Linked DNA regions of Drosophila melanogaster. The protein of the gene in region 3 interacts with the protein of the main gene of each other region in a pairwise test. Each region holds a gene or a part of one and is shown on either strand. Other genes may lie near its edges.

The links.
Region 1: the proteins of TppII (region 3) and CG4367 interact in a two-hybrid assay, tested with the Drosophila melanogaster proteins (one large-scale study listed by BioGRID).
Region 2: the proteins of TppII (region 3) and CG3323 interact in a two-hybrid assay, tested with the Drosophila melanogaster proteins (one large-scale study listed by BioGRID).

The regions. Positions count from the first base shown.
Region 1 is NT_033777.3:20,302,734-20,307,431, forward strand, and holds CG4367 (uncharacterized protein), read right to left. Parts: upstream 2,245-4,698; 5' UTR 2,223-2,244; coding exon 2,049-2,222; intron 1,988-2,048; coding exon 1,469-1,987; 3' UTR 1,222-1,468; downstream 1-1,221. Other genes in the region: CG4362 (uncharacterized protein), read right to left, coding at 3,580-3,743, 3,811-4,183, 4,610-4,698.
Region 2 is NC_004354.4:5,303,530-5,308,304, forward strand, and holds the start of CG3323 (uncharacterized protein), read right to left. Parts: upstream 2,163-4,775; 5' UTR 2,016-2,162; coding exon 1,802-2,015; intron 1,726-1,801; coding exon 1-1,725. Other genes in the region: CG42749 (uncharacterized protein), read left to right, coding at 2,350-2,466, 2,548-2,665; CG17764 (uncharacterized protein), read right to left, coding at 2,865-3,683; Cdk7 (Cyclin-dependent kinase 7), read right to left, coding at 4,233-4,775.
Region 3 is NT_033778.4:13,156,549-13,161,323, forward strand, and holds the start of TppII (Tripeptidyl-peptidase II), read right to left. Parts: upstream 2,594-4,775; 5' UTR 2,556-2,593; coding exon of another isoform or gene 2,469-2,555; 5' UTR 2,388-2,468; coding exon 2,219-2,387; coding exon of another isoform or gene 2,200-2,218; exon of another isoform or gene 2,118-2,199; intron 1,898-2,117; exon of another isoform or gene 1,825-1,897; intron 1,765-1,824; exon of another isoform or gene 1,729-1,764; coding exon 1,472-1,728; intron 1,285-1,471; coding exon 948-1,284; intron 889-947; coding exon 339-888; intron 283-338; coding exon of another isoform or gene 220-282; intron 83-219; coding exon 1-82. Other genes in the region: ND-MWFE (NADH dehydrogenase (ubiquinone) MWFE subunit), read left to right, coding at 2,200-2,298, 2,469-2,555, 3,183-3,368; Nrk (neurospecific receptor kinase), read left to right, coding at 3,741-4,109, 4,172-4,451, 4,518-4,760. UniProt on the Drosophila melanogaster protein: Component of the proteolytic cascade acting downstream of the 26S proteasome in the ubiquitin-proteasome pathway. Efficiently cleaves Ala-Ala-Ala-polypeptide and Pro-Pro-Ala-polypeptide, Val-Leu-Lys-polypeptide only at high concentration.

The DNA.
Region 1 (4,698 bases), on a different chromosome or scaffold from region 3:
CAGCATTTCGGACTAAGGAAATTAATGACAGGAAATACTGAAAAACCTTTTGGCAATTACAAGAAAGAGAACAAAAATGGAACAAACTCAGTCAGCAAAATAAAAAAAAAACAACAAAAAAGGCGTTTCGGATACAAAATTCTAAAATTCAGGTATTACAAAGAAAACAAAAATACAGATAGTGTTGTATAATGTTAAAAACAATTTTTGAACAAAGTAAAAATGAAAGATGAACTATTTAGCTATTTATACAAACGAGGCAAGTGGGTAAACTTTGCGAGTACGTGTAAAATTTATAAGGTGCTTTTATAACAAAATATTTGGTAGAGAAGCGAAGGACCTCCTCCCCCACATTAATATATATAAATATACATCTATTTTTCTCGAAGTGCAACCACTGTATTTTAAAATGCTTTTAAACGATGGTGATTTAGAAACAAAGCCCAAAAAGGGCTGAAACACTTGTAATTCAGTTGTGAGCGATTCGCACATTTTGACGATAATGGAGAGTGTGTTTTTTATAGTTTTTAATCGAGGAGGGCATTTCAAGCCGTATCTGTACTCTCCTCAAAACATAGAGCTCAATATATATCTAAATACATCAGATTGATGGCATCATTAGTGGCAATCGAGATTACACACTGTTGTTTGCGGTTTGTTTAGTTAATTGTTAAAAGGAAAACGTAAACCAATAGATATTCTTAAAACGCGACTTTTGAGTTTTGTAGTGAATTTACCGACTTATCGTTTGCAATTGACTTTTGAAGGCTTTGTAAAATATAAAAGAAAAGAATGCATATATATATACATACAACTTATTTGTGAAGTTAACTAATAAGCCAGTTAATGTGAAACATATTTTGTAAGCCACGAATAACTTAAGACAAATTACGAATATTAAAATAACATACAAGATACAAATACGAACATAAACAGGATAGCTTAAAAACAACAAATATTTAAGCACTCAACCGTGCAAATCTCATCCGATCGTTAAGAACACGTCTAAGACAGGGCTTTCAGAATCAAGAATTTAATAAGTAGGATCCATCTTAGGAGGAGGGAGTGCGATGCCCTGCACCTCAAAGACGAACGGTCATCACCAACAATCCACACACACACTCAAAACACACACTCATATATATGTATAAATAATATATACGACGATTAATTTATTGAATAAAACAGAAATAAACATTCATAATTTTCAAAATGGCATTTATTTATGGTGGTTCGTAAATACTTAACTATTATTGTCTTATTGTTAAATGGAACTTTTTGAGGTGCATTTTTTATCAAGTATTGTTAAATCAATACATAAATGAAGAATTGAAGTAATAAAATAACCTTTTCTTAAAACAAAATCGTATTGTTGATGAACAATTTGGAACAATTAGAAATAAATAAGTTACATAATTTATTGAGACTAGCAGTATTGTTCGATTGGCCACCGCTGATGATAACCACCTCACTTCGATTCCGCCACCTCCACGGGCACCTCCTGGATAATACTTCTCGCTGAGGATAGTACACTGATATCAGCGCAGTTAATAAAGGTTTCCTGCGCCCCACAACCCATGGCGCCCGTCCCATCCTCACAAACACCCCAATTATTTCCCGCCGTGTAAGTCCAGCGCAAAACGCAATGAATGCAGTTGAGATCACTGGGCAGTTTCACGGTTACTGGGATATCGCCAGTGGTGGTGTTAATGTAGTACTTCTGGCTACCGTCGGTGAAATTCAAAGGATATTGGTTAAAGCAATCCTCCGACTCGCTGCCATTTTCGTCCAAATCGCAGATGTGGAAGCGGAAGTAGCCCAGATGATTGGCTGTGATCTTAACATTAATTTCCGCTTCATCTACTCCGGCAAAGCTCTTTACAATCACTCCACTGCCATATTTTCCACCCAACTCATTGGGTCGCGGCTGCTCCAAGCTCCAGTCGTCTCCGCACAGTCCACATTTGCCATCATTTTCGGTTTGTTTCTAAAGGGTTAAGAACATCATTGAATCAAATGAATATAGAATTTTTTTAAGGCACTCCTACCCAAAATCCACCGCAATATAATGCATTGTCATCGTAGTTTGTTGGCGCCGAGTTATCGTAGCGCCAACGCGAGGATCTTCCGGTTGGACTTAACATCATACCGTGGCCCTCCAGTTCACCCATCCGGTTTAAAAAACCCATGCTAAGAAACAGGATAAATTTATACGTATTCATATTGATTTCACTTTCTTTGTGGCCAAAACGAACTGGTCGTGGCCTTATATAGTTCCATATTGCCAAACCTTATCAGTTGCCGGGCAGTTTATGTTTGTTTTTGATTTTTCGTCCAATAACCGTGAATGCATCTTATCGGCTCACAATCTTAATTTCGTTTATGGTTATTGGTAGTTAGAATTTGGGAGAATTTCTTGTATCTGACCTGGAAAGTGTGAAAACACATATGACACATCTAAGCAATACCCGTATTTTTTGGTAACCTAATCATAATAACTTGGAAGACTGCTTTATTATGCTATTATTATTTAGCCCACCAATGCCATTTTGATAGGAGTTCAAAGGCTTGGAAAAATTCTCACGATTTCGCAAAATTTGTTAGCCAAGGTCAACGATTCTTAAGTGCAATTACTTACTATTTTAGTTGGTTTTGACTTCAGCACTTTTCTGCCAATCATATATTGTAGTACGGTCCATACAATAGCCAAAAACGCAAATGTTTTTTTAAACAACAAATTTAGAGCACTTGCGCGCAGCTAAAAAAAATTGGCCACGTTTAAGTTCAGGGATTAAGCTGCTCGTATATTAATAAATCAGCAATTATTTAGTTTCGATTATTCCATGATGCCTCCAGATAAAACATGCGAGTACTTTGAAGCCACTATTTTCCTTTTTCATGGCCCTTTGGCTCAAAATAAGACATATATTTTAGCACATACTGCAAAAAAAGATGCATATCTATCTTCAGATTTCATAAATTTAAATTGCCCTATAAACACAATCTATTTGGTCAACTTTTGCGGTTATATGCTTTTGTTTTATCGATACAACGTGTTCTCAGAATCATCAATTAAGCATTAATAATCAAGGTGAAAGCGAACAAAATATTGAAATTTGCAATGAAAAGAATCGAACTATAAGTAACGTAATTCTGTTCTTTAAAGCCACTTCGCCTTCAATTTACACACTATTATTGTTATTATATATAAACAAATTTCTATTATTTTTTTTTGCTTGCTTTTTAGGTCAAAACCTAGCAGAAATACTGTATACCTGAAGGCCGTAGAACATTAACAAATTCTGATTTATACAATTTGTTGCATAGTTTTGGACTTAAAAAATATTGGTTATGATGTGTCTATCTCTAACATCTGTTTAAATAATGTATCTAAATTGGATAAGATCTCAAAATTAAACAGTAAATAAAACTAAATTTCTATAAATAGGAAGCAGCTCCAAGGACCCAATTAACTAATGTGTAAATGTTCACTCATTTATTTAAATAACTTTAGCTGACTATTTGGCATTTTGCATTTTCAGACATAAATGGCAGTTCGTTGAATTTTAGTCTGGATTTTCAGGCGACCTCAACCGGAGCCACTGGATCTCCGCCACCGACCAATTCCTTGACCAGGTTGCGACCCCAGTAGATGCTCACATCGGCGCAGTTCTTGAATGTTTCCTGTGGGCCACAGCCCAAGGCTCCGTTTCCGGAATTATCGCAGATGCCCCAGTTGTTGGCTGAAATGCACAAGATGTTCAATTAATTTTCACTTTAAGTTCCATTTACGTTCTGGCCACCACTTACCACCCACATAGGTCCAGCGGAGGACGCAGTGAGAGCAGGTAAGACCCTCCGGCAGGACGACTGTCACATCGAATTCGCCCATCTGATCGCCGATATCCTTTCTATCGCTTCCATCGATGAATCGCAGGCGGTTCTGATCGAAGCACTCCTCCGACTCGGCACCGAAGGCGTCCAGGTTGCACAGGTGGAACTCGAAGTAACCCAAGTGATTGGTGGTGATCTTCACGCCCACGGTGATGGTATTGCCAGCCACGTAGCTCCTGGTCACCACACCAGCTCCACCGATGCTTCCTCCGATCTCGTTGGCACGGGGCTGGGCATCCAGGAAGTTGTCGCCGCACAGACCACAGCGACCTCCATTGTTGGACTGCGTCTGCGGGTTTACGAAAACATATTTGATGGTAAACGTTTTGAAGGTCCTCGTTTATAAAGAATACGACATCTTTTCGTACCGTTGAAATCAGATTAAATAATGGCATACCATAAGAAAGAATACTATTGATGTCCCTAGAACATGATTAACCAACACTGGAATAGGTTTCTAATTTAGTGTTGGTATTCCATATTTGATTTCCATTGAAGATGCCACTTTAAGAATGCGCCCCGAATAATTTGGTAATGAATCGTTTAAGAATAACAAATTTTAGTTTCTAACATAAAGCCTTGGCTAAAAGTTTTGCCATTTGCTTTAGCCCACTGAAGAGCATCACCATTAAGAATCCCATGCATGTGCCACACTAATCTTCAATTATCGTAGATCCTTGTGGTTATCCAATTATCCAATTGATCCGACACTTACGTACAAACCGCCGCAGAAGAGTTCGTTGTCGTTCCAGTTCTGGGGTGCGGATCCATCGTAGCGCCAACGGGAGGATCGGCTCGGCGGGG
Region 2 (4,775 bases), on a different chromosome or scaffold from region 3:
GAATTTTCTCCAACTTGGACAATTCCACGTCCGTTTGAGTGGTATTGTTCACCTGACAAGGACATTCAGTTAGACGATCGCCCTGCTCCTCTGATTTCACTGCAGGAGTAGGAGGAGCAGCAGCAGCAGCAGCATCATCCACGCCCACTTCGTTGAGACGCACCGAGAGGCGTGAATAGGCAATGGCTCCGCCATAATGGGCCATAGTTGCTCCACCGCCACCCGCCTCGCGTGTGGCCACCTCAAGCTGTTCGACGGTGTTAGCATCCATGATTTTTGAATCCGCATAGGCCAGACTATTGAAGAACATTGTGTCCTGATCCAAAAGATTAAAGGATCCCCCAGCGCCGGGCACTTTTCGCAGTTGCTGAAACAGCATATTCGGATTCTTACGCAACTGACGAAAGTTGGTGCACTGCAATGGATCATCCTCGTTGAGCTGGACCAATGGCGGTTCCTCTTTGGGTGCCGGTAAATAGAAGCATTGCGACTCATCCGCCGTCTTTAGCTCGTTAAGTGTTTTGGTCTCGATGCGAAACTCTTGGACAAAGCCCACATGGCAAACGGTGCCAATGATGCGTGCCCGCATCTCAATAGCTGGTATATATTCCAAGCGCAAACAACACAATTTCCTAATGGGCAGCTCGTCCAATTGATTGGGACTGGTGCGCGGTGTGTAGAAACGTCCAGATGATTGCCGGCTTATATCCGTAATGATTACGTTGCTTCTCGGCTTGGGTATATTGGTGGCCCTTAGTGTCGCCTCCAGTTTTTCGCTCACCTTATGCAGCATATGTATCTCATGCTGCAGCACGGGCAGTTTCTTTGACACCTGATCCAATTCCAATTGGCGCTGCTCCTTCTCGTACTGATCCTTTTCCAGCTGGCGCTGATTATTGTGCCTGTGGCACACCTCCTCCAATTGCAACCTCAAACGGTCCTGACTGCCAACCGCCTTCGACTCGAATTGCTGCTGGCGCTGCAGCATGGCCGCCAATGTGGGACTATCCAACTGGCTGGAGGTGGTCGATGTGCTCTGTGCCAGTCCCTCGACGGGCGAGAGTGTGTATCCCTCGCCGGCGCCACGGCTGCATAGAGCCTCCTCGGAAATGGTCCTCTGCAGCTTGAATGTCTCCTGTTCCTGCAAGCTAAACTCACCATCCTTTGGGCCATTCAAGTGCTCGCTGCTAGCGCGCAATTTTCTGGCAGTCAACAGAGCTTTGACCTTCTTCACCGGCTTGCATACATAGACGAAACTCTTGTTCCCCTCATCCGGCAGGCGTATGGCCTTGGCCAATTTGATCTTGTCGTGATCCATTGAGCTGCCGCTGTCGCTTATTAGCTTATCATCACTGCCGTCCTGCAGAATGCTGCTCTCGCTGTCATGTGGTGTATTCACCAAATGTTTAGCCTTGTGATTGCCCAATGGCAACGTCTGAGATTGCTCCACCGTGACCTCAGTGGTCAGAGCTTCGCGATATTGATTCTTCCTCGGCGATTTGTCCGCTCTGTTTGGCAATTTGGCCACTCGGGGCAGGAAACTACGCTGACGACTGGCAGTGGTGACATTCTTATTGGTGCTTGCATGGGTGCTGCTTAGGAACAACGGAGGGACCGGTATTCCGGACTTTGGTGGTTGTGCGTAACGATGTCTGGGCGACAATTGACTGGTCCAATCCTGTCCAGCTGTGTTGCAGTTTCGAGCCGAACGATTGCTGTTGTTAACTGAACAAAAAAAAAAAAAAAAAAGAAAACAAAATAAGAAAAAAAAATCTGAGATCTTTGGTTGGACGAAACTTACCGGTGGGCAGGCCACGCGACAGCATCTCCGTTCTGGTGTAGGTCATCTTGCGGCGGACATTCTGATTGCCCGTCGCTTGTCCCTCGTTGCCGACGTGATTACCCTGGTCGCCGCCCAGCTGAACCTGTGCCTGTCCCTGCATTTGGATGACTTGCGGCAGTCCCTCCTGGCCGCGATCTAACTGGCGTATCTGATTGATTCGATTGCGATTCATGTTGGTTGCTCCGCTACAGCGATCTATTGCGACATCTGCTATATATATATATATATATATATATATATAATATGTGACCTTCGTTTTGTGTTCGATTTATTGTAATGTCGAGCTTATAAAATAAATATTGGGAGTGGGAGCACTGTTCTAGTCGACTGACTGAGTGAAACGAACAGCTGGGACTAAAATCGAAATCGAACTTGACAGCCGAACGCCGGGTGTTCAAGGACTGCTGCGATGCCATTTCCAAAGCCATCTAGTTGATCCTAGTAGTTTTTTTTTTAGCATCATGGAATTCTTCTTGTTATGTGGCTATGCTATTGATTTCTTTTAGTGACCAAAAGTGCATTGGCGCCCCAGCATTCCGTGCCTTGCCGGGCATCGACAACTGGTGCGAGATCAATTGCCTGCGCTATCCGCCCAATTGTCCGGAGGACGCCTGCCAATGTCCGTAAGTATGCACATGAATAATATGTATCTAACGAGATACATACATAGCAAGTTCGAATCTAAACCCATATCAATTGCACAGTCAGGAGTGCGTGGCCATTGGCGAGTATGCTGGACAGGATGGTGCCGACACCTACTGCATGGACAAGTGTCTCAACTATGAATCGGAGTGTCCGCCGGACAGATGCCGCTGCTACTAAACCGGATTGCGAGCCACAGCTGTGCTGCCCACCCATTGCCCATGCGGAGGATGCGAGATGCGATATGCGAGATCTAATGAATTGAATTTAATCGAAGACACTGCTCTAAATTGTTTGAATTTCAATGGCTTGGCAAGGGGGGGTGCCTCCGTTTGTTGGGCTTTCCGTTTCAGTTCTCAGGCGTCACCGCAAGCCTTACTTACTCCCTCCTGTACGCGTCGTACAGAAAGGGTCGGGTGAATGCCTCGAGCAGCTCGCGCTGTTCGCGCAATCGTCGAGTCTGCGCCATCGGCGACTCAGCGATGTCGATGTTCCGCCGGGCACGGAAAAGTGCCGATACCGTGCTGCCCAGCTGCTGCCAGCGTTCGAAGGCCCGGGATTCGGTGTGCGGCGCATCGAGCATTACTTTGGACGACATCACTGATGCCGACAATTCAGCGATCTGTGCAGCAGCAGCAGCAGCAGCAATGTCTGTGCTGTTGGTTTCCGGTTGAGGTTGCTGTTCAGATTCCAGATTGAACTGAGATTGGGACTGGAGGTCGGGCTCCGTTTCCGGCTCAGATTTGCCAGGAGATGGCAAGTCAACGGACAGCTCATCGGGTGGCGGCATTGTCTGACTGAAGATGAGCACCTCGGCGCGCTCCTCGCGAGCATCATCCTCGCTATCCTCCAGGGGCAGGGCGTCGGTGCTGCCGCTAACTAAATCCCGCACGTGCGCAAAACTGGAAGCGATGCGACGCAGTGAGGGGTCATCCTTTTCCTTTTTCGTCGGCATTGCCGGCGCATCGGCATTGGTTTCCACCGGCGCCTTCTTGCTGTAGGCAGCATCCATTGTGGTTGCTTTGGTGGCGATGACATCGCCGGCATTGGTCGTCTGCTTCTGGCGCATCCTATGCAGATTTATGCTGGAAAATTTGTTACCATAGCTTTGACGCATCTCGGCGCGCTTGCGACGCGCCTCCTCCTCCGTCCTGGCCGCCTGTTGGTCCCTGGCCATCAGTTGCTGCGCCTTTGACATCGTCTAACTCCAAACAGGAAAACGAAATACGGCAAATCTTTAGTTAACACTAGCAAAAAGGAAAAAAAAAAAAAAAACAAAACAAAACACGGACCGAAACGAGCGCTGAGAATTTCGAGAGTTTCAAATGTGCGTCGATTGACTTGGTTACCAATTTGTTTTCAGAAATATAAATACGGTAGCGTGCACTGGAACAGCTTTTGCACAACCTACCAGGATCCTATGTACTACTAATTAACTACTCAATTTTCGCTCGCTTTCAATCACATCTTTAATAGATCATCCTCAATCATCTTAAGCATAGTCTTAACAACTCATGTTGGGTGGCGAAAAGGTTTTGCCAAGCGAGAAAAATTCATATCAATTAGAATGGAGTGGAGCTTTTGGAGTGGATGCAATGCATCCTTAAGCCTTTCAATAGAACTTATTGTGCATGTCTGCGGTGAACAACGTAACGCGATCACAAACATCAATGTTATAATGGAAAGTGTGTGTTAACTGAGTGAGTGTGTGTGGGTGTGTGTGTGTGTGTGTGTGTGTGTGTGTGTGCTAGAACTGCAGCCGCTTCTTCTGGGCCAATCCATTGCCCCTCACCGTAGTCTCGACCAGCTTGCGCTTGAGCGCAGGCTTCGTGTCGCCGGTCTGCGGATTGGCGCCCTCCTTGGCGGCCAGAATGGCCGACGGCATTGGCAACTTGGGACCCACTGTGGGCGCCGGTTTGTTAGCGAAATACGGCATGCTCAGTGCCTCGCGGCAGGACACACGCCGCAGCGGATTCATGGCAAACAGGCGTTGCATCAGATGGATCAAGTCATTGCCCGCGGCGGTGAATATATTGTCCAATGGTGTGCCCGGAAAGTTGCGAAACTGCAGATAGTCGTGCAGTTTGCTCAAATGCGGCCATTCAGCTTCCGTGGGTGTTCCCAGTGTGGAAAAGATCCGTGTCAGCTGATCCAGATCCGAATCGCCCGGCATGAACGGCACTCGCAGCATAAGTTCAGCCAAAATGCAGCCAACTGCCCACATATCCACACCGGTGCCATATTGTCGGGCGCCAAAGAGCAATTCGGGCGAACGATACCAGCGTGTGAC
Region 3 (4,775 bases):
TGCCGGACCATGGTTGCCGGCCGATGCCACCCACACCACGCCATACTTGTTGACAACCTCGTTCATGAGCTCCCCAATGCGGCTGCAAGAGATTAGAGATATAGATTAGGTATTTTTTCATGAATTTTGATGGTTATCAGTTAGGTGTGTGTCGGCTGGAACGTGTCGAAGACAAGAGGATTGGACTGTGTGAATATTTGGATTTCTCATGAAATTTACCTAGACGCACACATCTTTCTTCTGCGACGCATTTCATCCGACCCAGACCCTGACCCAGACACACTAAAAGACATCACCAACTTTGGGATTAGTTCCGCCGGCCTTTCGCACTTGCTTACCCGGAATTTGACCAATTGGCATGCTCGCCATAGCTCATGTTGATCACATCGATGCGTCTGCCATCGCGACATAGTTCCATCACCTTAGTCATGGCACGCACTAGTGCCGTGCCGGTCTCCATAGACCCAAGTCGACCATCACCGATGGTCATAGAAACGATCTTAGCATTCGGCGCCACGCCATCCACGTCCCGGGAGCTATGGTTGCCGCTGGCAATAGACGATACGTGGGTGCCGTGGGGTGAGCTCATGCCGACCACCTCCAGTACGTTGCCCTCGTCGTGGACGTTTACCGATATGGAAAGAAAGTCGTCCACATTGCGGGTCTCGTGCGTGCGGGAATACTCGCCAATGCGCAGAGCCTGATCCAGATCGCCCTGCTCCGTGGTGTCGACGATTGTCAGCCATCCGTCGGCCGTGGGAAAAAGGATGCAATCGTAGGAGGTCTTAATGTCGCCGTACACCTTCTCGTAGCTATTCAACATCTCTAGCTCAAAGTCTAGATTCTCTTTCAATATCTTCTTGTCCCAGGGCAGTTTTGAGGCTTCTCCTGCAAAGATACATATGTTGTTGGTAATTTTGCCTCAAGTAATCAATCACTTAGCTCACCTGGATTTTGTGACTCAAATTCAACAATCTTGCGACTGGCGTTTGCAGTGGCCGTCTTGTGCGGCTTGTCCCAGTGCTTCAGCTTGGCCTGGGCCACAATGTTGTTCCGCACCTTGGAGGGCAACAAATCGCTGAAGCTCTTGAGGCCTACCCGCACCGCCTTCTCCGGATCTGTGTTCAGAGCCATCAGCTCCGGACTCAGCTTGAGCGAGTTTCCGGACAGGCCCTTAATGTTGCCGTTCTCGTCCGGCGTCACCTTCTTCTTCATGTCCACGTCGCCGCATCCGGAACAGTCGTACCGCTCTATTACTTTAACGGTCTTTCCATCGCACAGCGTCTGTTGCGTAGGAGCAGATTGAAATTGGATCGGTTATAATGAGAAACGGGAGTAAGAAGCAGTCGTGACACAGTAGAAGGATTAAATCGTAATAGAATAGGTAAGACGAAATATTGTAAATATTGGAAGAATAACTGTACAAGTTCTTTGTAACCGGTATAGAGAGTGCGAAAAAGTGCCAACTCACCTCCAGTCCCGTTGCCCGGGGATCGACGCCGGAATCGAAGATGGCTATGGTGACGTCGCGTCCATCGTACTCCGGGTACTTCTGCAGAAAGTTCAGGACTCCCGTCTCCGCCTTGGGCACCAGTGCGCCCGTGGGAAATGACTCGACAATACCGCTGGTGGCCATCCTGCTCTCCGCTGATTTGTCGCTCTGCTCTTTGTTGGTAGTCTTCTTGCTGCTATTGCTGCGCTCAGAACTCTCTGCGAATTCCTTCGTAGCTGTTCAATGAAGAATCGGATTGGTAAGACCGAGATCTGAGTGCAAAAAAATGGTCCAGCTGGATGTACGAAAAGTGCATTGGGAAAAATACCAACCCGAATAGAGCGTAAAACGGTCACGCAGCTTTACACTGGAATTTGTTTTCTATATACTTTCGAGCTTTGAAATTGATTATAAACATTGCGTACATTTATCAGCTCTACTAGATATATCAGATCTATTTACAAATTATTTAAGCCAACTATTGGTCAAAAACTATTTTCAAATCAACATTGACGTTTTTCTAAACGCAGTAGCAGAATAGAATTCAGTCACCGTTACTTTCTTATCGTTACTGGCCCACCTCTAGTTCAACATTCAAGTTTTTGGTATATTTTGTAAGGCTACCTGTATATTGGAACGGACTATCCACGGTCACACTGGGTGTCGTCTTGCAGTAAATATCATAACAATCTATTTCCATTGACAATATGTGGTTCGAAATCCTACCTGGTGCGGTGATCATCACCACGCTCCTCTCGGTGCCCATATACGCCATGTACGGCCTGGACAAGCTGATGATCGGCAATGTGAGTCCCACGCTGGCCTTCTGGCCCAGCAGCCCGAAATTCTTATATAACCGCAGCTGTTTGTGCACCAATCGGAATCTGTTAAACATTATTTAACCGCCTGCTTTTCGCAACGAGTTCGACGGAACACTACGGAGTTACTAATTGTTTGCTAATCGTTTGCTCAACAGGCTTTCCGGCGCAACATGGACGAGCGTTTCAGCCGAGTTATGTACCAGCGCGATTTCCGACTGACCGACAATCCCTACAAGATGAACGTAAGTGTTGTGCTATAGTCTGGCCTGCCTACAACTGATTTTTGTGCGGCAGGCCAACCATCACGTTTTTACCCTATTTTTGGCAGCAGTTTTGTTATCTCACAGCACGCACTTCATTATTATGCACGCTCATTTTGGTTTCGTTGTTTATGTTTTTCTCTGAAGTATGTTAAATAGATTGTTTTTGGTGTTATGAACTAGCTTTCTTCACTAATAAAATATTAGTTTTAAAGTTTTCTATATTATAAGGTAATTGCATTTAAAATCTTAGTTTTCTTGGTTAATTTCGTTTTTATTGTTTATTGATCATTGGTGGCGGTAGTTAATGTTACTTTATTTCCTACGAATTCATACCATCCATTTTTTTACGCTTATTCGAAGAGTTATAAGCTTAAATCATTTACAAAAAACCGAACCAATCTTCTTGCAGGGTCTGGATGCCATACCGGATGAGAAAACGAACTAATTTTAATTAAGTAAAGTTTTCCGTTTAAGCTTAAGTGCAAAAGTGAATAAACGAAACGTGCAGTTCGGAAGTGATAGTTGAAATGGTCGTTTTTGGTTTTTCCTGTAGTTCCTTACAGATTTTTTTTTGCTGCCTCAGGTGTAAAGCTTCTTTCTCTATAGGGTCTTGAACAAATTCCCGATGAAGAGGTGAAGAAGGAGGAGAAGGACCCCAATGAGGACAGCGATGATCCCGCAATCGTGAAGAAGCGGGAGAAAGAGCGGAAGCTAAGGGAGAAACAGCTGAAGAAGGAGGAAAAGCTCAGGGAGAAACAGCTGAAGGAGGAGGAGAAGCAGAAGAAAAATTAATATCAATAAAAACAAACATTTCGCCAGTGGAGCTCTCAAGCCGAGCACAGGACTTTCGGCCGCCTTTGCCGCGCATTTAGCAACCCTGTGCTCGTGACAGGAAACCACCCCTAAGGGAGAAGTACGGGTGGCGAAACATCCCGTCGTCAGCTTTGTGTGGTATTCGGTGAAAAGGCGTCGTCGAGCTGTGTGCGCGGAAATAAACAAATATTCTGCCGACTTACTTCGAGCTTACTTCTTAAAATCTATTTTAAAATTCGGGTAGATTGAATATTGTGGTGTAAGGCGGTAAAATGCCTTAGTTTATGAGTGCTCGCAAGGATTTTGCTTGGAAACGGTTCGCTAAACAAGGCATATACATAAAACACAGCCATGGCTGCCGGGCAATGGGTGGGGGTGGTTGAGCGGGTGCTCCGGGGAATGGTGCTGAAATGGGGGGCCAATTTGGCTGTCCTGGGGCTGTGCGTGTTTCTCTTTGCCAGCGCCACGCACGCGAACTCCCTGAACGCCATCGAGGAGCCCGTCACCCGGCGACACCACCAGCGGCATCACGAGCGCGAGCGGGAGGAGAACGGCTACTGCGCCCCGTACAGCGGCAAGGTGTGCAAGGAATACCTCACCGGCCAGGTGTGGTACAGTCTGGAGGATCCCACTGGCGGGTGGAAGAACGAGCAGGTGACCACGGCGCTCTGGGACGAGCTTATCTCCGATCTTACGGGTCTGTGTCGCGAAGCAGCCGAGGTGAGTTTCGATTGATACATCTAGAGATCCCATCTCATCCCATTAATCTCTTTTCGCTACAGAAAATGCTCTGCGCCTATGCGTTTCCCAACTGCCACATGGAGGGCGGTCGAGCGGTGAAGGCTCCTCTCTGCTTCGAGGATTGCCAGGCCACGCATCTCCAGTTCTGCTACAACGACTGGGTGCTCATCGAGGAGAAGAAGGAGCGAAATATGTTCATCAAGAGCCGCGGCCACTTCCGGCTACCCAACTGCTCCTCCTTGCCGCACTACAACGCTTCCATGCGGCGACCCAACTGCTCCTACATCGGTCTCACCGAACTCAAGGAGTCCGAAGTGAGCTGTAAGTCTTCATTATCACAAACCCTCAAGAAGGTCTTTCTGATGCTAGAATCCCTTTTCTTCACAGACGATTGCCGCAATGGAAACGGACGCTTCTACATGGGCACAATGAACGTGTCCAAGTCGGGCATTCCCTGCCAGCGCTGGGACACTCAGTACCCGCACAAGCACTTCCAGCCACCACTGGTCTTCCATCAGCTCCTGGAGGGCGAAAACTACTGCCGGAATGCTGGCGGTGAGGAGCCGCATCCCTGGTGCTACACTGTGGATGAATCAGTGCGCTGGCAGCACTGCGATATACCCATGTGTCGTAAGATCATAAAAT